4 linked regions of the Anolis sagrei genome follow. The protein of the gene in region 4 purifies or fractionates together with the protein of the main gene of each other region. This does not show direct contact. Links are inferred from orthologs where the notes say so. Each region holds a gene or a part of one and is shown on either strand. Other genes may lie near its edges. The genes, in order: TGFBR1, TGFBR2, SMAD4 and SMURF2.

Region 1 (7,077 bases), on a different chromosome or scaffold from region 4:
CATTCTCTACCCTGCTTTCTTTCCTTCCCTCCTTCTTCCCTTGTTCTTTCCCTCTTTATTTCTCTCCTTCCTTCCCTACCCTTCTTTCTTTCCTTCTCTCCTTCCCCCTTCTTTCCCTCTTTCTTTCTCTTTCTCTCCCTCCTTCCTTCTCTACCCTTCTTTCTTTCCTTCTTTCTCTCCTTCCCTCCCCCCTTCTCTCTTTCCTTCCTTCTTTCCTCCTTTCTGTGTATGTGTTTTGTGTGTGTATATGCATAGATGTGTGTGTTTGTGTATATATGTGTGTGGGTTTGCACATGCATTGTAATGTATTTTTGGGGGGAGGTTGCTTTTTAAGTCTCTTCCACTGTGTTTTTCAGTTTTTATGAGTGATGGTCACTCGTTGGCCTGATAGATGTATTTTGTCCAAATTTGGTGTCAATTCGTCCAGTGGTTTTTGAGTTATGTTAATCCCACAAAGGAACATTACATTTTTATTCATTTGATTGTTTAAATTATAATCCGGCCCTCCAACAGTTTGAGAGACTGTGACCTGGCCCTCTGTTTAAAAAGTTTGAGGAGCCCTGGTGTAGTGGGTTGGACTGGATGGTTCTCGTAGGCTCCTACTGCTCCAATTCTGTAACATACTTACTTACTTACTTAGGCGATCCCTCGTTGGACGAGTAAGATGGTCTTCCTTGATGACTATTTTTGTGGGTTTGTAGGTGGCTGTGGAGCCCTATTCTTGACCCGCATCTTCTCCCACAGTGAAGGCATTGGTTTCCAGCTGGAAGGCGGTCCCAGCCGGGGTTGGCTTGATGCACCTTCCTCCTGGCACGTTTCTCTCTTTCACCCTCCACTCGTGCCTCCTCGAATTCTGCAGCACTGCTAGTCACAGCTGACCTCCAGCTGGAGCAGTCAAGGGCCAGAGCTTCCCAGTTCTCAGTGTCTATGCCAGAGTTTTTAAGGTTGGCTTTGAGGCCATCTTTAAATCTCTTTTCCTGTCCTCCAACGTTCCGTTTTCCGTTCTTGAGTTCGGAGTAGAGCAACTGGTTTGGGAGACGGTGGTCAGGCATCCGGACAACGTGGCCGGCCCAGTTGATGGCAGAGGACCATTGCTTCAATGCTGGTGATATTTGCTTTTTCCAGCACACTGACGTTTGTCCGCTTGTCTTCCCAAGATATTTGCAGGATTTTCCAGAGGCAGTGCTGATGGAATTGTTCCAGGAGTTGTATGTGACGTCTGTAGATAGTCTACGTTTTGCAGGCATATAGAAGGGTTGGGAGGACAATAGCTTTATAGACAAGCACCTTGGTATCCCTACGGATGTCCTGGTCCTCAAACACTCTCTGCTTCATTCGGAAAAATGCTGCACTCACGGAGCTCAGGCGGTGTTGAATTTCAGTGTCGATGTTGACTTTGGTGGAGAGGTGGCTGCCAAGGTAGTGGGAATGATCAACATTTTCTAATGTTACACCATTAAGTTGTATCTCTGGCATTGGGGAGGGGATGGTTGGTGACTGCTGGAACAGCACTTTGGTTTTCTCGATGTTCAATGACAGGCCGAGCTTCTCGTATGTTTCTGTGAAGGTGTTTAGAGTGGCTTGTAGATCTTCTTCTGAATGTGCACAGACGACATTGTTATCAGCATACTGGAGTTCTATATCAGATGTTGTTGTAACCTTGGTTTTGGCTTTCAGTCTGCTGAGATTGAATAGCTTGCCATCTGTCCGATAGATGATTTCTAGGGCTGGGCGGTTTCGTTTGTTAATTTCGTAATTCGTTATTAATTCGTATTTAAATTAGCTTACGGTCCGATATTGAGCCATGCAGGAATAGAGTAATTAAAAATCGAAACAATTTTTCCAATTTATTTCGTATTGTTTTGTAATTGGTTCGAAATCGTTTCGTTATTATTTCCGCATGTCTGGTGTAAGTTTTAGGGTTGCTGTTTGTTTTATCAGTGAAAAAAAATATAATTGTCACACCAACAGTCAACAACAGAGGGAGAGGGAAGCTTCAGAAGTTCCCCCTGTCCCATTTGGAGGTTTTTTTAGCGTATTGCGCGATCGCGTCCGCCATTAACGAATCGATTCGTAATTGTTTCGTTATTGTTTCGTATTTTCCGAAATTTCGTAAATATCGAACTTTTTTAAAGAAAATGTTCGGAATTCTTTTAAAAATCGAAACGCAAAAACCCCCTAAAAACGAATCGAGTTTAGAAACAAATTTTTCCGTGGTTGGACAGCCCTAATATAAACCCATTGTCCTAATTCCAACAGACCTCACTACCTCTGAGGATGCTTGCCATAGATGCAGGCGAAACGTCAGGAGAAATGCCTCTAGAACATGGCCCTATAGCCCGAAAAAACCCTCAAGAACCTAATGAAAACAATGGTTGGGGATCACCACAACACGAGGAACTGTATTAAGGGGTCATAAGGAAGGTTGAACACCACTGTCCTAGTGAGCCGTGCCCCCTCCCCTTTCTCGACTGCCCTTCCTGGAGGGACGAACTCAGATGGTGAAGCTGGGAGACGCCTGCTCTGACCCCTGGCCTTTGTCCTGTGGGGTCCCGCAAGGCTCTATTTTGTCGCCCATGCTTTTTAACATCTACATGAAACCGCTGGGAGAGGTCATCCGGAGTTTTGGAGTTGGGTGCCATCTCTACGCGGATGACACACAACTCTACTACTCCTTTCCACCTAATTCCAAGGAGGCTTCTCAGGTGCTAGACGAGTGCCTGGCCGCTGTGTCGACCTGGATGAGGAAGAACAAGCTGAAGATCAATCCCGACAAGACAGAGGTCCTCCTGGTCGATCGTAAACCGGATCGGGGTATAGGGTGGTCACCTGTGTTGGACGGGGTTACACTCCCCCTAAAGCCACAGGTCCGCAGTTTGGGTGTCCTCTTGGATTCTTCGCTTACACTTGAGGCTCAGGTGTCGGCGGTATCCGGGAGGGCCTTTGCGCAACTGAGACTTGTGCGCCAACTGCGACCATACCTCGTGAAGGCTGATCTGGCCGGGGTGGTCCATGCCTTGGTCACCTCTAGAATGGACTACTGCAATGCGCTCTACGTGGGGCTGCCCTTGAAGACGGCTCGGAAACTTCAATTGGTCCAGCGGGCAGCAGCCAGGATGCTAACCGGGGCTCATTATCAAGAGAGGTCTACCCCTCTGTTTAAGGAGCTCCACTGGCTGCCATTTATTTTCCGAGCCCAATTCAAGGTGCAGGTGCTTACCTATAAAGCCCTAAACGGTTTGGGAGCACCCTACCTGCGTGACCGCATCTCCATCTACGAACCCACACGCTCGCTCCGGTCATCTGGGGAGGCCCTGCTCGTGATCCCACCCACATTGCAAGCGCGCTTGGTGGGGACACGGGACAGGGCCTTCTCTGTGGCGGCCCCCCGACTTTGGAACGCCCTTCCAAAAGATCTCCGACAGGCCCCTACTCTAGCTGTTTTCAAAAGGAATTTAAAAACTTGGCTGTTCCGTTGTGCCTTCTCTGACTAGGAATCCCCACCCCAAGTCCTAGTAGCACCTTAGCATAACTAATCGTCGCTGCACACCGCACTTTTAATCCTACGTGCCTCCTGCCATTCAGCACTTTTAACCTTGTACCCCATTGCGCCGGCCGAACCAGTTTTTAACAATGTCTTGATGTACTGCCATTGTCGTTATTTTGCTTATTGTTTTGATTTGCTTTGCTATTGTTGTGTTATGTTTTCTATTGTATTGTGTTTTGAGGCTTCGGCCTGTGTAAACCGCATCGAGTCCTCCGGGAGATGCTAGCGGGGTACAAATAAAGTTAATAATAATAATAATAATAATAATAATCTTCCTACGGAAGCCTCCGCAGACAGAAGTCCTCCTCCTCCTTCGCGCAGCCGGCGGCGCCCCTCGCGGCTTGTTGTCTGGCCTGTGTCTGCGGCGGGGCGTGGGCGGAGCCTAGGACCAGCGCTGGCCAATCAGGGGAGGGCTTTGTTTGCCCGAGTCGCGGGAGCCCCGCTCACCATTCAGATGCTGAGTGGCTGCGAAAGAAAGGAAGAAAGGACGGAGGAGGGGGGGAGGGGCGGGCCCAGTCCCGCTCGGCTGAGGGGAGAGGAGGAGGAGGAAGAGGAAGACAAGGAGGAGGCGGAGGGGGACCAGCGCGAGACAATGGCGGCGGCCGCCTTCTTCCCTCAGCGCCTGAGGCGGGAAGCCCGCGCGAGTTTCTTCCGCTGGGCGAGTTGGGCGGCGGCGGGCCTCCTCCTGCTGCTGCTGCTGCTCCGCCCGGAGGCGGCCTCGGGTGAGTCAAGCGGGCCTCCCTTCGCTCCCTTCGCCCCTGGTTGGCAACATGGCGCTGGTCGGGGGCCCTCCGGCCTGCAAACCCCATCCTCCCCTCAACTCTTTCTCTCTTTCCCGCGTGTTTCTGTTCCTCGCCGTTTCCGACTTGGAGCGCAGTACACAGCGAACTTTCTTTTCCGAAAAGGCGAGGCTGAAAAGGCCTGCGAGGTCGCCTGAGGGACGCCCTCAGCCCCTGGGTTTCCCAAAACAGATGGGCCTCGCTCCTGGCGCAAAGGCGCTCCATGAGGGAGGGAGGGGAGGACTCCCTTTCTCCTCCGTGACCGCCTCCCTTTCCCCCTCTCCCGCACACAGCCCTTTGTGGCCACCGTCGCTCCTTTCAGGCAGCAGCTGGACACCTCTTCTCCCACCATTGGAGAAGCCTCCCCCCCTTCTCCCCACATACACACTTTGCTTGGGGGCTCATACAGTAAAAACATTTTGGCAACTAGACATTGACCCGAATGTGTCCCCAACAACTTGCAGTGTTTACAGATGGTTGCTTCAGCTGTCCTTCAGCTGGAGTAGATTGTTTGTATGTTATGTTTCAGACTACACAGAGAAGCCATTGAAATCCACAAGCATGTGGACAATTTCAACAGAAAGGAGGAGACCATGAAAATGAACACAATCTGGCTAGCAGTATTAGAAAAAACTCTAAAATTACTACAGCAAAACAGCAGAGAGGAAACAACCAGGCACATCTTAACACCTCTCAACAGAACATTTTCCCAGGCTCAGCCAAGCCTTCAAATGCTAATGAAGGTGATCAGCTGAAACATTCACACCTAGCTTCAGCAGAGAGCTCTTTGTCCCACCCCAGTCATTCCACAGATATATTAACCCATTTTCTTATTTCCAGCAGACCTCACTACCTCTGAGGATGCTTGCCATAGATGCAGGCGAAACGTCAGGAGAAATGCTGTTCCTCCAGAGGACAGGAACAGGATTCAAAACAATCTTGACAGACTAGAGAGATGATTGGCCAAAACTAACTAAATGAAGTTCAACAGGGACAAATGCAAGATACTCCACTTTGGCAGGAAAAACAAAATGCAAAGATACAGAATGGGGGAGAATGCCTGGCTGGAGAGCAGTACGTGTGAAAAAGATCTTGGAGTCCTCGTGGACAACAAGTTAAACATGAGCTCACAATGTGATGTGGTGGCAAAAAAAGCCTGGGATTTTGGCCTGCATCAATAGGAGCATAGTGTCTAGATCTAGGGAAGTCATGCTACCCCTCTATTCTGCTCTGGTTAGACCACACCTGGAATATTGTGTCCAATTCTAGGCACCACAATTCAAGAGAGATATTGACAAGCTGGAATGTGTCCAGAGGAGGGTGACTAAAATGATCAAGGGTCTGGAGAACAAGCCCTATGAGGAGCGGCTTAAGGAGCTGGGCATGTTTAGCCCGAAGAAGAGAAGGCTGAGAGGGGATATGATAGCCATGTATAAATATGTGAGAGGAAGCCACAGGGAGGAGGGAGCAAGCTTGTTTTCTGCTTCCCTGGAGACTAGGATGCGAAACAATGGCTTCAAACTACAAGAGAGGAGATTCCATCTGAACATGAGGAAGAACTTCCTGACTGTGAGAGCCGTTCAGCAGTGGAACTCTCTGCCCCAGAGTGTGGTGGAGCCTCCTTCTTTGGAAGCTTTTAAACAGAGGCTGGATGGCCATCTGTCAGGGGTGATTTGAATGCAGTATTCCTGCTTCTTGGCAGGGGGTTGGACTGGATGGCCCATGAGGTCTCTTCCAACTGTATGATTCTGTGATTCTATGACCTGAATGTGTTCTCAACAACTTGCAGTGTTTACAGATGGTTGCTTCAGCTGTCCTTCATAAACAGGGAGAATCATCCTTGCCAATGCTGTTGCCCAAGGCTTGAATCACCGGGGGTCCTTTCACACAGTGTAACATGCACAGATTATCTATAGGAGGGGTCCTCAAACTTTGTAAACAGAGGGCCATGTCACAGTCCCTCAAACTGTTGGAGGGCCGGATTATCATTTGAAAAAAATATGAATTAATTCCTATGCACACTGCACATATCTTATTTGTAGTGCAAAACAATTAAAAACAATACATTAATTCATAGAATCAAAGAGTTGGAAGAGACCTCATGGGCCATCCAGTCCAACCCCCTGCCAAGAAGCAGCAATGATGCATTCAAATCACCCCGACAGATGGCCATCCAGCCTCTGTTTAAAAGCTTCCAAAGAAGGAGCCTCCACCACACTCCGGGGCAGAGAGTTCCACTGCTGAACGGCTCTCACAGTCAGGAAGTTCTTCCTGATGTTCAGATGGAATCTCCTCTCTTGTACTTTGAAGCCATTGCTCCGCGTCCTAGTCTCCAAGGAAGCAGAAAACAAGCTTGCTCCCTCCTCCCTGTGGCTTCCTCTCACATATTTATACATGGCTATCATATCTCCTCTCAACCTTCTCTTCTTCAGGCTAAACATGCCCAGATCTTTAAGCCACTCCTCATAGGGCTTGTTCTCCAGACCCTTTATTATTTTAGTCGCTCTCCTCTGGACACATTCCAGCTTGTCAATATCTCTCTTGAATTGTGGTGCCCAGAATTGGACACAATATTCCAGGTGTGGTCTAACCAAAGCAGAATAGAGGGGTAGCAATACTTCCCTAGATCTAGACACTATGCTCCTATTAATGCAGGCCAAAATCCCATTGGCTTTTTTTGCCGCCACATCACATTGTTGGCTCATGTTTAACTTGTTGTCCACGAGGACTCCAAGATCCTTTTCACACGGA
Region 2 (7,342 bases), on a different chromosome or scaffold from region 4:
ATCTTGTCAACTACAAGATACAGTCCCACTATTCTAAGGCACTGGACTCCCAACTTATCAACTACAGGATATAGTTGTCCTATGCTATGGAGCCCCTGGTGGCACAGTGGGTTAAAGCGCTAAGCTGTTGAACATGCTGACCGAAAGGTCAGCGATTCGAATCTGGCAGAAGCCCCAGCTTCTGCCAACCTAGCAATTTGAAAGCATGCAAATGTGAGTAGATTAATAGGAACTCCTCAGGCAGAAAGCTAACGGCGCTCCCTGCAGTCATGCAGGCCACATGTTCTTGAAGGCGTATACAGACGACAACAGTTCTTCGGCTTAGAAATGGAAACATTATGTATATATTCAGTTTTATCATATTTATTTAGTATATTGTTATAAGTGATTTACTTAACTTGCTATACAGAGTGAAATCAAGTTTTATCAAGCCTTTTTGTTTGGTTTGGTATTGTGAAATGGCCTAAGGGCTAATCAATAAAATTTACTACTACTACTACTACCACTACTACTATTACTACTACACTACTATATAGAAATTGAGATAAGCACCACTCTCCAGAGTAGGACACAACTAGACTTAATGCCAAGGGGAAACCTTTACCTTTACTATTCTAAGGGACTGTGCCCCCAATATACCATCTCAGAATATAGTTCCCTAATGTGAAGCATTGCACTCCAAACTTGTCAGCTGCAGAAGGACTTCTTAAACTTCTTTCACTCGCAACCCCTTTTGGTCCTAGGTACATACTTGTATAAAAATCAAATACTTACTGGGAACAAATGAAGGATTGCTAAACAGGTTGGTTTTCCCTTTTTGTGCAGTACAGCTGTGAAGCATTTACTGCAGAGTCCACAGTAAACGCTGCATATTACTGCTAACCAGGTCTGGAACCAGGGGGGGGGGGGGATTAAGAAAACCTAGTTACCCAAGAATTTGTTAACCAGTTAAAATTCATGAGTAAACCAGATTTTAAACTCCCCCCCCCCCCCCGCCAACAGATTTATATAAATAGGCAGCATACCTTGGACTGTTACCAATTTTATTAAGCGAAAGGGACGCTATTTGGGGTGAGGACCCACAGCTGAAAAAGCAGCAAACAAGATATAGTTCCCCTATGCCAGTGTTTCTCAACCTGCGTGTTGGGACCCCTGGGGGGGGGGTCACAAGAGGGTTTCAGAGGGGCTTGCAAAACACAGTATTTGCTGTTGGTCATGGGGGGGGGGGTACTATATGGGAAATTTGGCCCAATTCTATTGTTCATGGGGTCCAGAATGCCCTTTGATTGTAGGTGAACTATAAATCTCAGCAACTACAACTCCCAAATGTCAAGGTCTATTTTCCCCAAACTCCACTAGTGTTCACCTTTGGGCATATTGAGTACTATCCATCCCCTGCCACGTGTGCTGCTGTGTCCCAGTCTCTGTATATGTGTTTTGTGTGTGTATATATGTGTATGTGTGTGTGTGTATTTGTGTATATGTGTATATATGTGTGTGTATATATGTGGTTTTGCGCATGTGTTGTAATGTTATTTTTTTTGTTTTTTGGCTTTTTAAGTCCTTTCTGCTGTGTGTTTTTTCTTTATTTTTGCTTTTATGAGTGATGGTCACTCGTTGGCCTGATAGGTGTCTTGTGTCCAAATTTGGTGTCAACTCGTCCAGTGGTTTTTGAGTTATGTCAATCCCACAAACTAACATTACATTTTATTTATATAGATTCGTGCCAAGTTTGGTCCAGATCCATCACTGTTTGGGTTCACAGTGTTCTCTGAATGTAGGTGAACTACAACTCCAAAACTGAAGGTCAATGCCCACCAAACCCTTCTAGTATTTTCTGTTGGTCAAGTTTGGTTTAATTCCATCCTTGGTGGAGTTCAGAATGCTCTTCGATTGTACGTCAACTATAAATCCCAGCAACTACAACTCCCAAATGACAAAATCAGCCCTCTCCCTGAACCCCACCAGCATTCAAATGTATGGGGTATTTGTGCCAAATCTGGTCCAGTGAACAAAAACACATCTGCATATCAGATATTTACATGATGATTCATAACAGTAGCAAATTACAGTTATTAAGTAGCAACGAAAATAATGTTATGGTTGGGGGGGGGGGGGTCACCACAACATGAGGAACTGTATTAAGGGGTCGTGGCGGTCGGAAAATTGGGAACCACAGTCCTAAAGGCACTGTAACCCTTATTTCTTTGGAATAACCTTCTATTCCTGGCAAATAGAGCCAAGAGTGGCTCCTTTTGGGGCCAAGCTGAGAGAAAATGATCACTTAAGGCAGGCATGGACAAACTTGGGCCCTCCAGGTGTTTTGGACTCCAACTCCCACCATTCCTAACAGCCTCAGCCCCCTTCCTTTTCCCCCTCAGCCGCTTCTAAGGCCACCCTTTCCCCTCCTAGTAAGGGAGAGGTTTCCTTCTGGATACAAAGAGAAATATAGGGGAGAAGAACCGGACAGAAAAGTTCCTCTGAACTTTCCCAAGCGCTGAAGCGGGAGAGGAAGTGGCCCTGAGGCAACCCAAGGGAGCTCCTGACCATCTCCAAAGCTGTGGCTCTCTCTCTCTCTCTCTCTCTCTCTCTCTCTCAGGAGCGTTGCTGGAACGCAAGAGGGGGAAACCTCTGGTGCGAGCTTTACCTGTGGCCCGGGCCAGCGCGGGCGTGGCGATGTGCAGCAGAGTCCACACCAAAGCGAGCTTGGCAAGCCAGCTCATGGTACATCCGTGCCTTGGGCGCCCGCGCGCGGGGGGGAGGCGGCCAGGGCTTCTTTGGGGGCTCCAGGGGGAACCACAGCCAGCCGAGGAGGCCCCGCCAGAGGCAGCCGAAGGAGCAGAGGCGGATGGGCGGCTGGGCGGCTGCTGCTGCTGCTGGGAGTGCGTGCCTCTGTGACTCACGCCCCTCCGCTCGCTGCAGCCCGGCCTGCTTGCTTGCCTGCCTGCCTGCCTGCAGGGGAAACAGGAAACCTTCGAAGTTCGCAAACAGCTGGGCAGGACTTTCTTCACTCTGGCTGGAGTTCCTTCTCCGCTGGCCCGCCCTCCTCCTCCTCCTCCTTCTCCTCTGGAACCGCTTCGCCCCAGCGCGCCCTGACAGGCACACACCGCACGCACGCACACTTCTACACACATGCAGACACACAAACACAAACTTATACACCCAGACAAGCGCATACACGCACATGTATACACACAAACATACTCGCAGACAGGCGCATATACTCACATATGTACACACAAACTTATATACGCACATACACGCACACAAACTTATACACACAGACAAGCACATGCCTATAGATGAGGCATGGGCAAACTTCGGCCCTCCAGTGTTTTAGACTTCAGCTTCCACAATTCCTAACAGACAGGCGCATACACTCAAATACATAAACACAGATTGGTGCAGACACTCATGTACATACTCACAAACTTATACACACAGACAGGCGCATACACTCACGTGCATACACACAAACTTATACACACATAAAGGCATATACATTCACATGCATACACACAAACGTATACACACAGACACGCACATACATACACACAAACTTATACACACAGAGAGGCACATACAGTCACATGCTTACACACAAACAGGCACATACACTCACATGCACACAAACAGGCACATATACTCACATACATACAAACAAACGTATACACACAGACACGCACATACATACACACAAACTTATACACACAGAGAGGCACATACAGTCACATGCATACACACAAACAGGCACATACACTCACATGCACACAAACAGGCACATATATTCACATACATACACACAAACTTATACACACAGACAGGCATATACACTCGCATACATACGCACAAACAGGCACATACACTCACATACATACACACAAACCTATACACACAGACAAGCACATGCATTCATATACTTACACACAAACAGGCACATACACTCGCATACATACACACAGACAGGTGCATACACTCACATACATACACACAACTTATACACACAGGCAGGCACATACACTCACATACATACACACAAACTTATACACACAGACAGGCACATACACTCACATACATATATACACACAAACCTACACATACTTACAGGCACACACATACACACAAACGGGCACATACACTCACATACATACACACAAACTTATACTCAAAGACAAGCACATACACTCACATACATACACACACACTTATACACACTTACAGGCACATACACTCGTAGACATACACACAAGCAGGCACATACACACAAACCTATACACACAGACAGGCACATACACTCACATACATACACACAAATTTATACACACTTACAGGCACATACACTCGCATACATACACACAAGCAGGCACATACACTCACATACATACACACAAACTTATACACACAGGCACATACACTCACATATGTACACACAAACTTATACACACAGACAGGCACATACGCTCACATACATACACACAAACTTATACACACTTACAGGCACATACACTCGCATACATACACACAAGCAGGCACATACACTCACATACATACACACAAACTTATACACACAGGCACATACACTCACATATGTACACACAAACTTATACACACAGACAGGCACATACGCTCACATACATACACACAAACTTATACACACTTACAGGCACATACACTTGCATATGTACACACAAACTTATACACACAGACAGGCACATACGCTCACATACATACACACAAACTTATACACACTTACAGGCACATACACTCGTATACATATACACAAACAGGCACATATATACATACACACAAACTGGCACATACACTCACATACCAACACACAAACTTATACACACAGACACGCACATACATACACACAAACTTATACACACAAACAGGCACATACATTCACATACACATAGACAGGTGCATACACTCTCATGCATACACACAAACTTATGCATACAGACAGGCACATACACTCACATACATACACACAAGTAAACCACAGACATGTACATACACTCACATACATACTTATACACACAGACAAGCACATACACATACATACACACAAAGTTATACGCACAGACAGATACATGCCTATAGATCAGGCATGAGCAAACTTTGGCCCTCCAGGCCTACCAGTGTGCATATGTGTGTTTATGTATAGAACAGTGGTTCTCAACCTGTGGCCCAAGCCTCCCTCCAACCTCACACGCACATGCGCACCATTCTGCTATGTGCCGAACATGCCTGCTCTCCCCTCCCCTGCTTGGTGTCTCAGAAACAGCCCTCCCCTTGGCTGAGAGGTCGGCCAATCACAGCACAGGAGAGCTTTTGGTGGGAAGATTTGCCGTCTGTTTCCAAAAAGAAAGGGAAGGACAGGCAGAGAGATCTTCGGCCTTCTCTGCTAAAGGGGTTCCTAAGGCCATCAGAAATATATGTTTTCTGATGGTCTTTGGTGACCCACTAAAACCCCCTTGTGACCCCCAGGTTGAGAAATACTGATCTAGCTTAATGCTATAGAATCATGAGTTGTAGTTTTACAAGGTCAAACAGTATTGATGTGTGATTCTTAGCCATATAATTCACCCATTAAAAGCTGCATTTAGCTGCAAATCTAAGGTTTCTTACATTTACACAGTTCTGAATTTCGTCATGCCTGCTGAGATATAATCAGTATACTGTCATGTCTGCAAAATGTATTACGCAGAACATGTTTTCTGCCTCCTGGTGCAAAAATCGGAGTGAGATAAATACATGAAGAGTTAGAAACCTGTTTTCTAAACTTTGTTGGACTATGACTCCCATTAGCTCTAGCCAGCACAGTAAAAAGGTAAAGAATGATAGGAATTGTAATATAACAATGTCCACCATTCCTGAAATACAACAAAATACTTTTGCATGGTGCTAATGAGCAACAAATTGTACTACTGTTTTGAATTTCAGAGCGTTTTGCTTTCTTTTTTCCTGTTGCTGAACCATTTCTGCTAGTTTTTACTTGTTCTGAGGAATTCATTCATCTGTTTATATTAGTGCAAAAATGTTCAGCCTCAAGCAAAGGCATTTACGGAAAGTTACACGCAGAAAAGTTTCTGTAAAAGTCTGATTTCAAACTGTCAGAAATGTACACCACATTTTGCTTGTTTCCCAGTCATAATTAAATTAGAACATCTGTTGCCCATAATCATCCTTCATATAGAGGCAACTATGGCATCGTTTTCAGTTTCTCGGAATATATAAACCAAATTTTGTTATCTTCATGATTAGTTTTAATGATGCATTTGTGCTAGAGTTCCTGAAAGGTACTAATTTTCTTCATATTTTAGGATCTAAATGCATAATAAATGAGCAGAAAGCAAGTGGAAATAGAATTGGCCTAGCCCCATGCTCCAGACAAGCTGCATTAATTCTGCAATGTAGAATTAATGCACCCTGAGTCATATTTTCAATTAAAGTTTCTTTATATATGCATGAGTATATAGGGTTTTGAATCTCAAGATTGTCATGGTGATAGCGAACAAAAATGCTTTCAAACTTGTGATCAACTTTCTTAACCACAACTGTAATGCCCTTTGCATGAAGTTGTCTTTGATAGTCCAAAGGAAGAAGCTAATTCAAAATGAGGTGGTCATCATGTTGGTGCTTGTTGAGCTGTTGCTTGCCAACCAACCAAACAAGATATTACAAACATGATCCAGGCTTTGCATTTGCTTTATTCCTATACCAGTGTTTCTCAACCTGGGGGTCGGGACCCCGGGGAGAGGGTTCATGAGGGAGTGTCAGAAGGGTCACCAAAGACCATCAGAAAACACAGTTGATCGTGGGAGTTCTATGTGCCAAGTTTGGGTCAATTTCTTCGTTGGGGGAGTTCAGAATGCTCTTTGATTATACAGGGTTAGTCAAAATGCATAGGCCAATAAGCCATTCAATTGAATGGCTTATTGGCCTATGCATTTTGACTAACCCTGTATGTCAACTGTAAATCCCAGCAACTACAACTCCCAAATGACAAAATCATGCCCCCCCCCCCCAACCCCACCAGTATTCAAATTTGGGCATATCAGGTATTTGTCCAAATTTGGCCCAGTGAATTTTTTTTGTCATGTCAGGAGCGACTTGAGAAACTGCAAGTCGCTTCTGGTGTGAGAGAATTGGCCGTCTGCAAGGACATTGCCCAGGGGATGCCCAGATGATTTGATGTTTTTATCATCCTTGTGGGAGGCTTCTCTCATGTCCCCGCATGAGGAGCTGGAGCTGATAGAGGGAGCTCATCCGCCTCTCCCGGGATTTGAACCTGCGACCTGTCGGTCTTCAGTCCTGCTGGCACAGTGGTTTAACC
Region 3 (8,005 bases), about 110 Mb from region 4:
ATAATAATAATAATAATAATAACAACAACAACAGCAACAATACTCTGGGTGGATCATAGTTTATATACGCAGCAAACATTTAATGCCATTTGGACAGACAGGACAGAACAGACAGAAAGGAGACATGTTGTGTTGACATCCAGCTTTCTGTGCTCAAATCCAGCCGTGGGGGTGGGTGGGTGGGTGCTTTCGATCCATTCTCTATGACGAAGCGCCATCAGGTCTTCCTCCTTCTGTTTGGTCACCAGCATTTTCTGGTCTTTTTCTTTTATGGTGTCATAAAATACCTCCCCCGCTTTTTAGTAGTACCTAATTTCTCTACTTACAGCTCTAAGCTGTTTTTGAACTGCTTAGGTAAACAGTGAGCTGGGCTGACAGTCAGGTGCTCACTCTGACCTGGGCTTTGAACTAGCAAACTTTCAGTTGGTAGATCTTATTGCTGTTGGTGGTGATTTAGCAGTTGTTCTATAGCCTGGCCCAGTAAGAGAAAGTGTATCAAAACCTTTACAGTTTTACACAAAGAACAACATTTAGACATGCTAACATACATACAGACATGCTAACATACATTGAATCCACAAACAACCTACAGTTATATTGGTTAACAAACAAAGGGGAAATACATTTTTACTCTGCATTCGCATTAACCATACATATTCATTCATCCTCATGCATCCAAATAATACCTTCTCCTTTCTCTCTCCTTGGAAAAGCACCTGCTTAAGCCAGACCCTGCTTTCCCTGCAGCCAACAGACAGTTCCAAAACTTCCAGAAAGCCATAACACAATGCCAAGGATCAGATCCGTTTTCCCTACAGCAGGAACTGACTCACTGCAAATGTATCAGGACTCCAAAATTACACTCCTTTCTCTTCCCATGAGAAAAGGAGGCAAGGACCAGACTGTGTTCCATTGCAGATCTGCCACTTCCAAAGGTACACCATCTCTTTCCTTCCCATGGAGAGAGCATGGCGGGTGGACCAGACTCCTCCAATCTGCCACAATTTTAGAAATATTAGAAGGTCTCTTATATAGTAATATTTCTTGCTGATGTTGTTCCAAATAATGTAAATAAATGATAGATGTTTTTCCAGCCTGAAATATCCTGGCTTCATCTCAGCTCCTGGCAGATGCTGACTCTCCACTCACACTTGCTTCAAACAGACAAGGGTTCTTTCTCCGACCCTGGACTCCACTTGTCTCATTTCCACAGACCTCTGAACAAACCCCTGAGGATGCTTGCCACATATACAGGTGAAACATCAGGACAGAATGCAACTGGAACATGGCCATACAGCCCGGAAAACTCACAGCAACCCAGTGATTCCAGCCAAGAAAGCCTTCAACCAACAAATCCTATCAAACTCTGCAAAAAAGTTCCTTTCCTCTCAGGGTGCTTCTACACTGCATAATTACTGCAGATTGAGACCACTTTAACTGCCATGTCTCGATGCTATGGAATCATGGGAGTTCTAGTTTTACATGGTCTTTGGTACCTCATCAAACTACAACACCCATGATTCCATAGCATTGAGCCATGGCAGTTAAAGTTGTCTCAAACTTGCATTAGTTCTACCATGTTGACTCCATCCTATTTGGGAATTCATTCTGGAGATCAAGAATTAATTCAGCCCAGTGGACAGCAAACAAATTATTTCCAAGCAGGATTGTAGTGCTTTGAAGTTTAATAGTAGGGTTGTGTGCGTGCCTCCTTGCTAAGTTGGAGGCATTTCATGTTCCATGTGCCACCGCCAGCAAAAACAGCTTTGTGGAACAGGGAGGTGCAAAGACTTCAGAAATGTGGTTTATTCTCCCCGTGGTATAAGATGTCACGAAACAGGAGAGCTCTCATTTCCCCTTTAGCTACCGAATTCAAGTGCATCCAGAGTTTGAACACACTCCTGGCAGCCTCCCTCCCTCCCAGATCCCCTCTCTAGCTCAGATATCCTTGATCTAAATTTAAACTCGGCAAGCCCAGTGGGTACGGAGAGCTAAATCTTGCCCATGTTCAAATAAACAGGGTGTGGTTTAGATGGACGATTCCAGCTGCAAACACATTCTGTCCTTTAAATAGCAGGGGCTGACTCAGCTCAGTCAGGGTTTCCTTCTCTTCATGGGCCAAGCCAAGGAAAATTTCCTGTAGCTAATCACTTGCGCGTTCAACGCCTTTCCGCAAGCTGGGTCCTGGTCCATTTGTATGTCATGGCAGACTGAATGCCTTTCCAGTTGGTGGCTCCAAAATACTGGATTTTGACATTCTAGTTTTTGACACTCAACAAATGTGTTGATTTTAAAAACTGGATTATATTATTTTGATTATTTCTTGCTGGTAAGGAAATACATAGCATGTACCTATGCTCTTGCAAGCAACCTGTCCTTTGGACCTATCCAAACAAGAAGTCATAGAATCATAGAATCAAAGAGTTGGAAGAGACCTCATTTATTTATTATTTATTTATTTTATCTACTTATACCCTGCCCTTCTCACCCCGGGGGGGGACGGGGACTCAGGGCGGATTACAGGAAAGGCACAATTAGATGCCCAAATCACACAACAAACAATACAAAATATAACAATTCAACAATTAAAATAAAACATCAATACCTAATAAAATCATAAAAACTATCTCATGTCAGAGTCCATATATCAGAGTCCATATATCCATTCCATTCCATTGTCCTTGTCTATCGACAGGTCCTTTAGTTAGTTGTCAGCATGGCCAAAAGCTTGGTCCCACATCCAGGTCTTTAGTTTTTTCCTAAACGCTAGAAGGGAAGTCGTCGATGTGATCTCCCCGGGGAGTGAGTTCCACAAGTGAGGGGCCACCACTGAGAAGGCCCTGCTCCTCGTCCCCGCCAGCCTCACTTGTGCCACTGGCGGGGTCGAGAGCAGGGCCTCCCCAGAAGATCTTAAACTTCGAGGTGGGATGTAGAGGGAGATCAGTTCGGACAAATACACTGGGCCGGAACCGTATAGGGTTTTGTAGGTCAAAACCAGCACTTTGAATTGTGCTCGGAATTGGATCGGCAGCCAGTGGAGCTGACGCAACAGGGGGGTGGTGTGCTCCCTGTACGCCGCTCCGGTGAGCAATCTGGCTGCTTCTCGCTGGAAGTTTCCGAGCAGTCTTCAAAGGCAACCCCACGTAGAGTGCGTTGCAGTAATCCAACCGGGATGTGACAAGAGCGTGGACCACCGTGGTCATCCAGTCCAACCCCCTGCCAAGAAGCAGGAATGTTGCATTCAAATCACCCCTGACAGATGGCCATCCAGCCTCTGTTTAAAAGCTTCCAAAGAGGGAGCCTCCACCACACTCCGGGGCAGTGCTGGACGGCTCTCACAGTCAGGAATTTCTTCCTCATGTTCAAATGGAATCTCCTCTCTTGTAGTTTGAAGCCATTGTTTCGCGTCCTAGTCTCCAAGGAAGCAGAAAACAAGCTTGCTCCCTCCTCCCTGTGGCTTCCTCTCACATATTTATACATGACTATCATATCTCCTCTCAGCCTTCTCTTCCTCAGGCTAAACATGCCCAGCTCCTTAAGCCGCTCCTCATAGGGCTTGTTCTCCAGACCCTTGATCATTTTAGTCGCTCTCCTCTGGACACATTCCAGCTTGTCAATATCTCTCTTGAATTGTGGTGCCCAGAATTGAACACAATACTCCAGGTGTGGTCTAATCAAAGTGGAATAGAGGGGTAGCATTACTTCCCTAGATCTAGACACTATGCTCCTATTGATGCAGGCCAAAATCCCATTGGCTTTTTTTGCCGCCACATCACATTGTTGGCTCATGTTTAACTTGTTGTCCACGAGGACTCCAAGATCTTTTTCACACGTACCACTCTCGAGCCAGGCACCCCCCATTCTGTATCTTTGCATTTCGTTTTTCCTGCCTAAGTGGAGTACCTTGCATTTGTCCCTGTTGAACTTCATTTTGTTAGTTTTGGCCCATCTCTCTAATCTGTCAAGATCGTTTTGAATCCTGCTCCTGTCCCCTGGAGTATTGGCTATCCCTCCCAATTTGGTGTCGTCTGCAAACTTGATGATCCTGCCTTCTAGCCCTTCATCTAAGTCATTAATAAAGATGTTGAACAGGACCGGGCCCAGGACGGAACCCTGCGGCACTCCGCTCGTCACTTCTTTCCAGGATGAAGAGGAAGCATTGGGGAGAATCACCCTCTGGGTTCGTCCATTTAACCAATTCCAGATCCACCTCACCGTAGTTTTGCCTAGCCCACATTGGACTAGTTTCCTTGCCAGAAGGTCATGGGGGACCTTGTCGAAGGCCTTACTGAAATCCAGGTACGCTACATCCACGGCATTCCCCGCATCTACCCAGCTTGTAGCTCTATCGAAGAAAGAGATCAGATTAGTCTGGCATGACTTGTTTTTGATAAATCCATGTTGACTATTAGCGATGACTGCATTTGTTTCTAAGTGTTTGCAGACCACTTCCTTAACAATCTTTCCCAGAATCTTGCCTTGAACTGGGTTATCTGAGTCCACACTGCCATATAATCCAGTTCAATGTGGATTTTTATACAGCTGTATGGAAAGTGTCTAAAAAAAAACACCCTTCCACGCATGTTCATTTCTTGAAAAGGATACGACAACCATAAACTTTACGAAGTCAGCGTCGCGCCCGCCCTCCCGCATCCTTTCCAAGGGAAATCACAAGGGATATTTCCCGACACTACGCATGCGCAGTTTACGAGACTGAAAGAGGCGGCAATGAGAGCTTGGAGAGAGAAACAAACGAGGAAGCGTAGTAGTATTGGGGCGCATGCGCAGTTTGTGGGACGGCAATGAGGGATTGGGGGTGAGATGGGACGCATGCGCAGTTTGCGGGACTGAAAGAGGCGGCAATGAGGGCTTGGAGAGAGAAACAAACGAGGAAGCGTAGTAGTATTGGGGCGCATGCGCAGTTTGTGGGACGGCAATGAGGGCTTGGGAGTGAGATGGGACGCATGCGCAGTTTGAGGGACTGACCCGCAGGCGGCAAGGAGGGAAAAAGAAACGAGGAACCATAGTGGCCTGGAGGCGCATGCGCAGTCTGCGAGGGGAAACAGGACCCCGGATGTGGCGCATGCGCGGCGCAATCTGCCTCGGACGTGTCTGCAGCAACAACAACACGGCGACGCAGGAGGCCTCGGCGGTCGGTTGGAACGTTCCTCGCGCCTGAGTTTCAACCGTGCGCAGGCGCAGTGGAGGAGGCGGCGGCGGCGGCCGTGGACTGCCCTCATTCTCGCCTTCCGGAGGCGAGGAGGGAGGACGCGGGCCGGGGAAGGAAGGCCGCGGCGACGGAAGGGTCCCGGCCCAGGCCCAGGCGAGTAGGAACTCCCAGGGATGGATTTAGAGTTGGCAACCATTGGGGAGTTGTGTGGCCATCGTTGGTCCTCGTGAAGGGATTGAACTGGGTTTGCCTCATCAGTCCCACCAAGTTAGGCGAGTTTGGGCTTCTTAATGTGGAGGGAAGTCTGGCCAGTTTAAAATTATTTGGACTCCAAGTCCCACAATTCCTAACAGCGCTGTTAGGGATTGTGGGAGATGGAGTCCAAAGCTGGAATGTGTCCAGAGGAGGGCGACTAAAATGATCAAGGATCTGGAGAACAAGCCCTATGAGGAGCGGCTTAAGGAGCTGGGCATGTTTAGCCTGAAGAAGAGAAGGCTGAGAGGAGATATGATAGCCATGTATAAATATGTGAGAGGAAGCCACAGGGAGGAGGGAGCAAGCTTGTTTTGTGCTTCCTTGGAGACTAGGATGCGAAACAATGGCTTCAAACTACAAGAAAGGAGATTCCATCTGAACATGAGGAAGAACTTCCTGACTGTGAGAGCTATTCAGCAGTGGAACTCTCTGCCCCGGAGTGTGGTGGAGGCTCCTTCTTTGGAAGCTTTTAAACAGAGGCAGGAGGGCCATCTGTCAGGGGTGATTTGAATGCAATATTCCTGCTTCTTGGCAGAATGGGGTTGGACTAGATGGCCCATGAGGTCTCTTCCAACTCTTTGATTCTATGATTCTAAAACACTCAAAGTTGTCTCGGCCCTGATTTAACTAGTCCAGTGTTTCTCAACCTGGGGGTCGTGAGGGAGTGTTAGAGGGGTCGCCAAAGACCATCAGAAAACATAGGTCATGGGGGTTCTGTGTGGAAAGTTTGGTCCAATTCTATCGGTGGGGTCCAGAATGCTATTTTATTGTGGGTGAACTATAAATCCCAACAATTACAACTCCCAAATGGCAAGGTCTATTTTCTCCAAACTCTACCAGTGTTCACATTTGGGCATTTTGAGTATTTGTGCCAAGTTTGATCCAGATCCATCATTGCTTGAGTCCACAGTGTTCTCTGGATGTAGGTGAACTACAACTCCAAAAAACTCAAGGTCAATGTCCACCAGACCTTCCCAGTATTTTCTCATTTGTTGTTCATTCGTTCAGTCATCTCCGACTCTTCGTGACCTCATGGACCAGCCCACGCCAGAGCTCCCTGTCGTCCATCACCACCACCAGCTCCTTCAAAGTCAGTCCAGTCACTTCAAGGATGCCATCCATCCCTCTTGCCCTTGGTTGGCCCCTCTTCCACTTTCCCCAGCATAATTGTCTTCTCTAGGCTTTGCTGTCTCCTCATGATGTGGCCAAAGTACTTCAACTTTGTCTCTAGTATCCTTCCCTCCAGTGAGCAGTCGGGCTTTATTTCCTGGAGGATGGACTGGTTGGATCTTCTCGCAGTCCAAGGCACTCTCAGAACTTTCCTCCAACACCACAGTTCAAAAGCATCGATCTTCCTTCGCTCAGCTTTCCCCAAGGTCCAGCTCTCACATCCATAGAGATAGCTCTACTCTTTACTATTTTATCGAGATTGGACATTGCTCTCCTCCCAAGAAGGAAGCGTCTTCTGATTTCCTGGCCACAGTCTGCATCTGCAGTAATCTTTGCACCTAGAAATACAAAGTCTGTCACGGCCTCCACGATTTCTCCCTCTATTTTCCAGTTGTCAATCATTCTTGTTGCCATAATCTTGGTTTTTTTGATGTTTAGCTGCAACCCGGCTTTTGCGCTTTCTTCTTTCACCTTGATTAGAAGGCTCCTCACCAGTGTTCTCATTTGGGCATATTGAGTATTTGTGCCAAGTTTGATCCAGATCCATCATTGCTTGAGTCCACAGTGTTCTCTGGATGTAGGTGAACTACAACTCCAAAAAACTCAAGGTCAATGTCCACCAGACCTTCCCAGTATTTTCTCATGGTCATGGGAATTCTGTGTGCCCAGTTTGATTCAGTTCCATCATTGGTGGAGTTCAGAAGGCTCTTTGATTTTAGGTGAACTATAAATCCCAGCAACTCCAGCATTACCAAATGACCAAATCAATCACACCCAACCTCACCAGTATTCAAATTTGGGAGTATTGGGTATTTGTGCCAAATTTGGTCCAGTGACTGAAAATACGTCCTGCATATCAGATATTTAGATTACCATTCATAACAGTGGCAAAATTACGGTTGTGAAGTAGCAACGAAAATAATATTATGGTTGGGGGTCGCCACAACATGAGGACCTGTACTAAGGGGCTGCGGCATTAGGAAAGTTGAGAACCACTGAACTAGTCTTACACTAGATTTTGGAATACCTGTCTTTTGCATATACATCCATAATGAGGTATTGCATACATCTCGTATAGACTACTGCAATGTACTTTACATCGGGTTGCCTTTGAAGACTGTTCAGAAGCTTCAGATAGTCCCATGGGCGGCAGCCAGATTGTTTGCCGGAGCAGCGTTCAAGCATACAGCCCCTCTGTTACGCCGCCTTCACTGGTTGCCAGTTTGCTACCCGGCACAATTCAAAGTGATGGCTTTATTTATTTAAAATATTTATTTATTTATATTTATTTATTTATTAATCAATTTTGTATACCACCACTCCCCGGAGGCTCAGCGGTTCACAATATACACATGTAATACATAACATTTAAAATCAAGGAAGAATTCAATCAGCAAGGTTCAAATGCCA
Region 4 (7,733 bases):
AATCAGATAGAACTGGATTATATGGCATACAATCTGGTTCAATGCAGTTCAATCTACATTATATGAGGCCTCTTCTACACTGCCATATAAAATCCAGATTATCTGCTTTGAATTTGATTATCTCACAGTGTAGACTCATATAATCCAGTTCAAAGGAGATAAAGTGGATTATCTGATTTGATATTCTGGGTAATATGGCCGCGTAGAAGGGACCTGAGACTACACTAACCATATAATGCAGTTCAAACTGCATTATATTGCAGTGTAGATGGGGTGTACTAAGACCCTTTCTACACGGTCATATAAAATCCAGATTATCAACTTCGAACTGGATTAAATGGCAGTGTAGACTCATAATCCAGTTCAAAGGAGATAGCATGGATTATCTGCTTTGATAATCTGGACTATATGACAGTGTAGAAGGGCCCTTAAAGAGTTGCGAAGAGGTTTCAGTTTTGAATCCCTCCTTTCCGGTTCCTTTTAAAATTGACCATACTTTAGAATCCTATGCTGTATAGAGAGGAAATGAAATCAGGGGTTCTTTTACACAGCCATATAATCCAGAATATCAAGGCAGAAAATTCCACAGTATCTGCTTTGAACTGGGGCCCCTTCCACACAGCTGTATAAAATCCCATATTGAATTGGATTATATAGCAGTGTGGACTCAGATGTTCCAGTTCAAAGCAGATATTGTGAGTTATTGTGCCTTGATATTATGAGTTATATGGCTATGTGGAAGGGCCCTGAGTCCACACTACCATATAATCCAGATAATGTATGATTTTATACAGCTGTAAGGAAAGGTCCTCAGATAGCCCAGTTCAAAGCAGATATGGGATTTTATGCCTTGATATTGTGGGTTATATGGCTGTGTGGAAGGGCCCAGAGTCCACACTGCCATATATTCCAGTTCAAAGTAAATAATGTGGGGCTGTATAATCAGCTGTGGGAAAGGGCCCTGAGTCCACATTACCATATATTCTAGTTCAAAGCAGATATTGTGGGATTATATTCAGCTCAAGGGTCTGGAGAACAAGCCCTATGAGGAGCGGCTTAGGGAACTGGGCATGTTTAGCCTGAAGAAGAGAAGGCTGAGAGGAGATATGATAGCCATGTATAAATATGTGAGAGGAAGCCACAGGGAGGAGGGAGCAAGCTTGTTTTCTGCTTCCTTGGAGACTAGGGCGCGGAACAATGGCTTCAAACTACAAGAGAGGAGATTCCATCTGAACATTAGGAAGAACTTTCTGACTGTGAGAGCCATTCAGCAGTGGAACTCTCTGCCCCGGAGTGTGGTGGAGGCTCCTTCTTTGGAAGCTTTTAAGCAGAGGCTGGATGGCCATCTGTCGGGGGTGATTTGAATGCAATATTCCTGCTTCTTGGCAGGGGGTTGGACTGGATGGCCCATGAGGTCTCTTCCAACTCTTTGATTCTATGATTCTATGATTCTGTGGAAGGGCCCAGAGTCCACACTGCCATATAATTCTGATAACGTAGGATTTTATACAGCTGTAAGGAAGGGCCCTCAGATAACCCAGTTCAAAGCAGGTATTGTGGGATTTTCTGCCTTGATATTCTGAGTTATATGGCTGTGTGGAAGGGGGCCTGAGAGCTGAAGAGAATATCACATTTTTTGCTTTGAACTGGGATATATGTGGACTCAGATAACCCAGTTCAAAGTAGATACTGTGTGGTTTTCTACCTTGATTTTGTGGGTTATAGGTCTGTGTGGAAGGGCCCAGAGTCCACACTGCCATATATTCCAGTTCAAAGCAGATATTGTGGAATTGTACTCAGTTGTGTTGAAGGGCCCAGAGTCCATACTGCCATATATTCCAGTTCAAAGCAGATATTGTGGGATTGTATATTCAGCTGTGGGAAAGGACCCAGAGTCCACACTGTCATATATTCCAGTTCAAAGCAGATATTGTGGGATTATCTGTGGGCTCTTCCACACAGCGGAATAAAACCCTACATTATCTGCTTTGAATTGGGATATCTTGCAGTGTGTGTGGAAGGGCCCTGAGTCCACACTGCCATATATTCCACATAATCCAGTTCAAAGTAGATACTGTGGGATTTTCTGCCCTGATATTCTGGGTTATATGGCTGTGAGGAAGGGCCCAGAGTCCACAGTGCCATATATTCCAATGCAAAGCAGATAATGTGGGGTTGTACTCAGCTGTGTGGGGAAGGGCCTCCAGAGTGGCTTGCTGCCTCCTGAGGCCTTCCCTTGAGGCTTTCTGAGGGAGACTGCAGGTTCAACCTCAAAGCCATGGAAGCCTTGTGTGTGTGTGTGTGTGTGTGTGTGTTCCCCTTCCCCCCACTCCCCTTCCCCGCTTTATTTCCCCAGCCCCCCAACGCTGTGAGCCTTCTTCTCTCCTTTGGAAGGCCCCGTGTTTCCTGAAGTAACGCCTGAACAGGAGCACAAGGCTGTTTCTCCCCCCCCCCCCCGCGCCCCTTCCTCCCTCCCTTTCTCTGCCTGTCTCTCACCTGTCAGTCGCAGCTTGACGGGCCCGTTCCTCCGGGCCCCGGGGTTGGACATGACCCCCTCCCCCCGAGGAAGGCAGGAGAAGGCGGAGGAGGGAAGGCAGGCCTGCTAATGGAGGCGGCTCAGGGAAGAAGCAGCAGCAGCAGCAGCAGCAAGCAGGAACAGCGGCGGCAGCGGCAATCGCCGCCGAAGGGAGAAATGCCCGGATGTGCCCAGTGTCGCCATGAGCAGGGCTCGCCTCAGAAGAGGAGGAGGAGGGAGAGGAGAGGAGGCCGCCTTCCTTCCTTTCTTCCTGCCTGCCTTCCTTTCCTTCCTTCCCGCCCTCTTGTCGGGCAACAAAGGCGGGGAAGGGAAGCCAGAGGGCTGTCCCTCCTCCACACAAAGGGGGTCTCCGCTGTAAAACCGCCTGCCCCGCCTCCTCCTGGCTGCTGGGAGGCTGCACTGGATTCTTAACGCAGTTTGGCCCTGCTTGAACTGCCATTGGGTCCTGAGCTGCCTTTTCTGTGGGCCCTTCCACACAGCCTTATATTTCATGATATCAAGGCCCACAGTATCCACACAGTCCTATATCCCACAATATCAAGGGAGAAAATCCCACAGGATCTGTTTTGAACTGGGTTATTTTGAGTCCACACTGCCATATATTCCAATTCAAAGTAGAAAATGTGGGATTTTATTCAGCTCTGTGGAAAGGCCCTCAGATAACCCTGTTCAAAGCAGATATTGTGGGGTTTTCTGCCTTAATATTCTGGTATACAGGGCTGTGTGGAAGGGGCCTGGGTTATCTAAGTCCACACTCAAATAATAAGGGGTTTTCTGCTTTAATATTCTGGGATATAGGGCTGTGTCTGGGATCTGGCCGGGGTGGTCCATGCCTTGGTCACCTCTAGATTAGATTACTGCAATGCGCTCTACGTGGGGCTGCCCTTGAAAACGGCTCGGAAATTCCAACTGGTCCAACGGGCAGCAGCCAGGATGTTAACCAGGGCTCCATACAGAGAGAGGTCAACCCTCCTGTTCAAGGAGCTCCACTGGCTACCATTTATCTTCCGAGCCCAATTTAAGGTGCAAGTGCTTACCTTCAAAGCCCTAAACGGTTTGGGACCAGCCTACCTGCGTGACCGCATCTCCGTCTATGAACCCACACGTTCACTTCGCTCATCCAGAGAGGCCCTGCTCGTGATTCCGCCTGCGTCGCAAGCGTGCTTGGTGGGGACTCAAGACAGGGCCTTTTCTGTGGTGGCCCCCCGACTCTGGAACACCCTCCCAAAGATCTTAGACAGGCCCCTACACTGGCAGTCTTCAGAAAGAACTTGAAGACCTTGCTGTTCCGATGTGCCTTCCCAGATTAGGAATCTCCAATACCAAGTCCCAGAAGCACTTTAGTAGAACTAAGATCGCTGCACACCGCACACTGCACTTACTTTATAATCCTACATACCTCCTGCCACATCAGCACTTTTAATCTTGTACCCATTACCCTGGCCCGGCCCGGTTTTCATAGTGTCTTGATGTATTGTTTATTGCTTGTTGTTTATACTGCTTAACTGTTTTTAATTTGCTTTAGGTGTTGTTTTGCTTTGTTGTATTGTGTGTTGAGGCCTTGGCCTTTGTAAGCCGCATCAAGTCCTTTGGGAGATGCTAGCGGGGTACAAATAAAGTTATAATAATAATAATAATAATATAATATGGGGTTTTCTGTCTTGATATTCTGGGATATAGAGCCTGGGTTATCTGAGTCCACACTCCAATAATATGAAGTTTTCTGTCTTGATATTCTGGGATAAAGGCCTGCGTGGAAGGAGCCTGGGTTATCTGAGTCCACACTCCAATAATATGAAGTTTTCTGTCTTGATATTCTGGGATATAGGGCTGTGTGGAAGGGGCCTGGGTTGTCTGAGTCCACACTCAAATAATATGGGGTTTTCTGTCTTGATATTCTGGGATATAGGGCTGTGTGGAAGGGGCCTGGGTTGTCTGAGTCCACACTCAAATAATATGGGGTTTTCTGTCTTGATATTCTAGGATATAGGGCTGCGTGGAAAGGGCCTGGGTTATCTGAGTCCACACTCCAATAATATGGGGTTTTCTGCCTTGATATTCTGGGACATAGGGCTGCGTGGAAGGGGCCTGGGTTATCTGAGTCCACGCTCAAATAATATGGGGTTTTCTGTCTTGATATTCTGGGATATAGGGCTGCGTGGAAGGGCCCCATAGTCACCAAGGGCTCTTTCACACAGCTGTATAAAATCCACACTAAACTGGATTATATGGCAGTGTGGACTCGGGGCCCTCCACGCAGCCATATAACCCAGAATATCGAGGAAGAAAATCCCACAATATCTACTTTGAACTGGATTATATGAGGCCCTACCTACACTGTCATATAAAATCCAGATTATCTGCTTTGAACTGGGTTATATGACAGTGTTGACTCATATAATCCGGTTCAAAGCCAATAATCTGGATTATTTTATTTGATCATCTGGATTATATGGCAGCGTAAAGGGGGCTGAAGACTGGGGGCCCTTCCACAAAGTCCTATACCCCAGAATATCAAGGCAGGAAATCCCACAATATCTGCTTTGAACTGGGTTATCTGATGGCCCTTCCACACAGCCCTATATCCCTATATATAAGGCAGGAAATCTCACATCTGAGTGTGGATTTATCTAACCCAGTTCAAAGCCGATATTGTGGGATTTTCTGCCTTGATATTCTGCAATATAGGGCTGTATGGAAGGGCCCTGAGTACATACTCAGATAGTGTGGGATTTTCCACTTTGATATTCTAGGCTGTAGGGCTGTGTGGAAGGGCCTTCAATCTATACTACCCAATATCCCAGGATCTGATCACAAATTATCTACTTTGTACTGGATAATATGACTCGACACTGTCAGATAACAGTATGTAAAAAAAAGTTGGAAAAATTGTCTGTTCCTGGTTTGAAAGCGTTACTTCTCTTTTAATTGAGCGGTGTTTACTTTGAAACTAATAATCATAATAATTTTTATTTCTTACCCGCCTCTCCTCATGGCTTGAAGTGGCTGAGGCCCCTTCCACACTGCCCCTGTATCCCAGGATTTGATCCCAGATTATCTTCTTATCCCAGAGTATCTGTCAGTGGAGACTCATATAATCCCCTTTAAAGCAGAAAATCTGGTATCAGATCCTGGGATATGGGGTAGTGTAGAAGGGGCCTAACTTTGGAAGCAGTTGTTATACTCCATAAACTTCATTTTTGTGGCTGCCACAAACTATGTTGAATTGCTTGAGAATCAATGAAATATTCATTGAAAAACTATATCAAAATGTGCTGCAGGATGTCCCGCAAAAATGAAGTTATTGCATCTTAATAAACTTTTCCCATGTTTTCAGGATAGAACGAATTAGGAAATTACATTTATAACCCAGGCCCTTTCTACACTGCAATATAAGATCTGGATTATCTGCTTTGAACTAGATTTTATGGCAGTGTAGACTGGGCCCTTCCACTCAGCCGTATAACCCAGAATATAATGTGAGATAATCTGATTATCGGAGGGCCCTTCCACACAGCCATATAACCCAGAATATCAAGGCAGAATAATCCACAATATCTGCTTTGAACTGGAATATCTGAGTCCACACTGCCAGTTCAAAACAGATAATGTAGGATTTTATTCAGCTGTGTGGAAGGGTCCTGAGCCCACACTGTCATATAATCCGGTTCAATGTGGATTTTATACAGCTGTGTGGTAGGGACTCTTTCTACACTGCCAACAGTTCAAATCAGATAATCTGGATTTTATATGCAAGTGTAGATCCTGCCTTAGGGCCCTTCCACACAGCCATATAGCCCAGAATATCAAGGCAGATAATCCTCAATATCTGCTTCGAATTGTGTTATCTGAGTTCACACTACCATATCATCCAGTTCAATGTGGATTTTATACAGCTGCGTGGAAGGGGCCCAAGTCTTATCCAGGGCCACTTCAGCCTTATAAAGACCCTTGAATCCATGGAGGGAGAATCCATGAATACAGAGGGCCAACTGCAGGCAGTCCCAAGTTACAAATATCCCATTTACAAATTGCTCATAGTTAAGAACGGCGGGGGGGGGGGGGGGGGCAGGACAATAGGAAGGGAGTGAATTCTATCCCTAGGAAGGGAAATTCACTCCTGGAAGAGTTATTATCATGGGGAAAAGGTGGCTCCAATGAAGTTTTCTCACCAGTCCTTGTTTCCACAACAAACCACATTTTCCAAAATCCACTGGTCACAGGGAAAGAAAGTAAGGGAGATGTATTGTCGAAGGCTTTCATGGCTGGAATCACTAGGTTCTTGTGGGGTTTTTCGGGCTATAGGGCCATGTCCTAGAGGCATTTCTCCTGACGTTTTGCCTGCATCTATGGCAAGCATCCTCAGAGGTAGTGGAGGTAAGGGAGAATCTTTTGAACAGGGGCACAGTCAGCAAAACAAACACCATAGGGCTGTTAACCATTCCCTATGCTATCCACATATATATAGCTTGAATTACACCAACCTACATAAAAATTCAGTTTAAGAACAAACCTACAGAAACTATCTTGTTAGAAGATGGAGATTTAAATAGAAATGTAGTACATCTCACCACAGTGGAAAAGATTTTGTGGCCAGATGGTCTCCTCAATTTGCTATGTAGGTCTTAATTGTTGATGGACAACTTCTAAGCCTATGCTCTTTCTTCTTAGGGCCCTTCTACACTGCCATATAATCCAGGGCCCTTCCATGCAGCCCTATATCCCAGAATATCAAGGCAGAAAATCCCAAAATTTCTGCTTTGAAGTGGGTTATCTGAGTCTACACTCAGATAATGTGGGGATTTTCTGCCTTGATATTCTGGGATATAGGGCTGTGTGGAAGGGCCCTGAGACTATATAGTTATGGTGATCACTGGGGCCCTTCCACACATCCCTATATCCCAGAATATCAAGGCAGAAAATCCCACAATATCTGCTTTGAACTGGGCTATCTGAATCCACACTCAGATAATGTGGGGATTTTCTGCCTTGATATTCTGGGATATAGGGCTGTGTGGAAGGGCCCTGAGACTATATAGTTATGGTGATCACTGGGGCCCTTCCACACATCCCTATATCCCAGAATATCAAGGCAGAAAATCCCACAATATCTGCTTTGAACTGGGCTATCTGAGTCCATACTCAGATAATGTGGGGATTTTCTGCCTTGATATTCTGGGATATAGGGCTGTGTGGA

What was found.
Region 1: the proteins of SMURF2 (region 4) and TGFBR1 purify together in Homo sapiens (affinity purification with western blotting; 8 studies listed by BioGRID). This does not show direct contact. The link is inferred for Anolis sagrei from reciprocal best matches to the Homo sapiens genes SMURF2 and TGFBR1.
Region 2: the proteins of SMURF2 (region 4) and TGFBR2 purify together in Homo sapiens (affinity purification with western blotting; 3 studies listed by BioGRID). This does not show direct contact. The link is inferred for Anolis sagrei from reciprocal best matches to the Homo sapiens genes SMURF2 and TGFBR2.
Region 3: the proteins of SMURF2 (region 4) and SMAD4 purify together in Homo sapiens (affinity purification with western blotting; 3 studies listed by BioGRID). This does not show direct contact. The link is inferred for Anolis sagrei from reciprocal best matches to the Homo sapiens genes SMURF2 and SMAD4.

What each region holds. Positions count from the first base shown.
Region 1 is NC_090026.1:60,590,353-60,597,429, forward strand, and holds the start of TGFBR1 (TGF-beta receptor type-1), read left to right. Parts: upstream 1-4,059; 5' UTR 4,060-4,139; coding exon 4,140-4,269; intron 4,270-7,077. UniProt on the Homo sapiens protein: Transmembrane serine/threonine kinase forming with the TGF-beta type II serine/threonine kinase receptor, TGFBR2, the non-promiscuous receptor for the TGF-beta cytokines TGFB1, TGFB2 and TGFB3.
Region 2 is NC_090026.1:82,528,640-82,535,981, forward strand, and holds the start of TGFBR2 (TGF-beta receptor type-2), read right to left. Parts: upstream 3,021-7,342; 5' UTR 2,724-3,020; coding exon 2,648-2,723; intron 1-2,647. UniProt on the Homo sapiens protein: Transmembrane serine/threonine kinase forming with the TGF-beta type I serine/threonine kinase receptor, TGFBR1, the non-promiscuous receptor for the TGF-beta cytokines TGFB1, TGFB2 and TGFB3.
Region 3 is NC_090022.1:287,005,790-287,013,794, reverse strand, and holds the start of SMAD4 (mothers against decapentaplegic homolog 4), read left to right. Parts: upstream 1-5,004; 5' UTR 5,005-5,323; intron 5,324-8,005. UniProt on the Homo sapiens protein: In muscle physiology, plays a central role in the balance between atrophy and hypertrophy. When recruited by MSTN, promotes atrophy response via phosphorylated SMAD2/4.
Region 4 is NC_090022.1:179,910,005-179,917,737, forward strand, and holds the start of SMURF2 (E3 ubiquitin-protein ligase SMURF2), read right to left. Parts: upstream 3,012-7,733; 5' UTR 2,976-3,011; coding exon 2,497-2,975; intron 1-2,496. UniProt on the Homo sapiens protein: E3 ubiquitin-protein ligase which accepts ubiquitin from an E2 ubiquitin-conjugating enzyme in the form of a thioester and then directly transfers the ubiquitin to targeted substrates.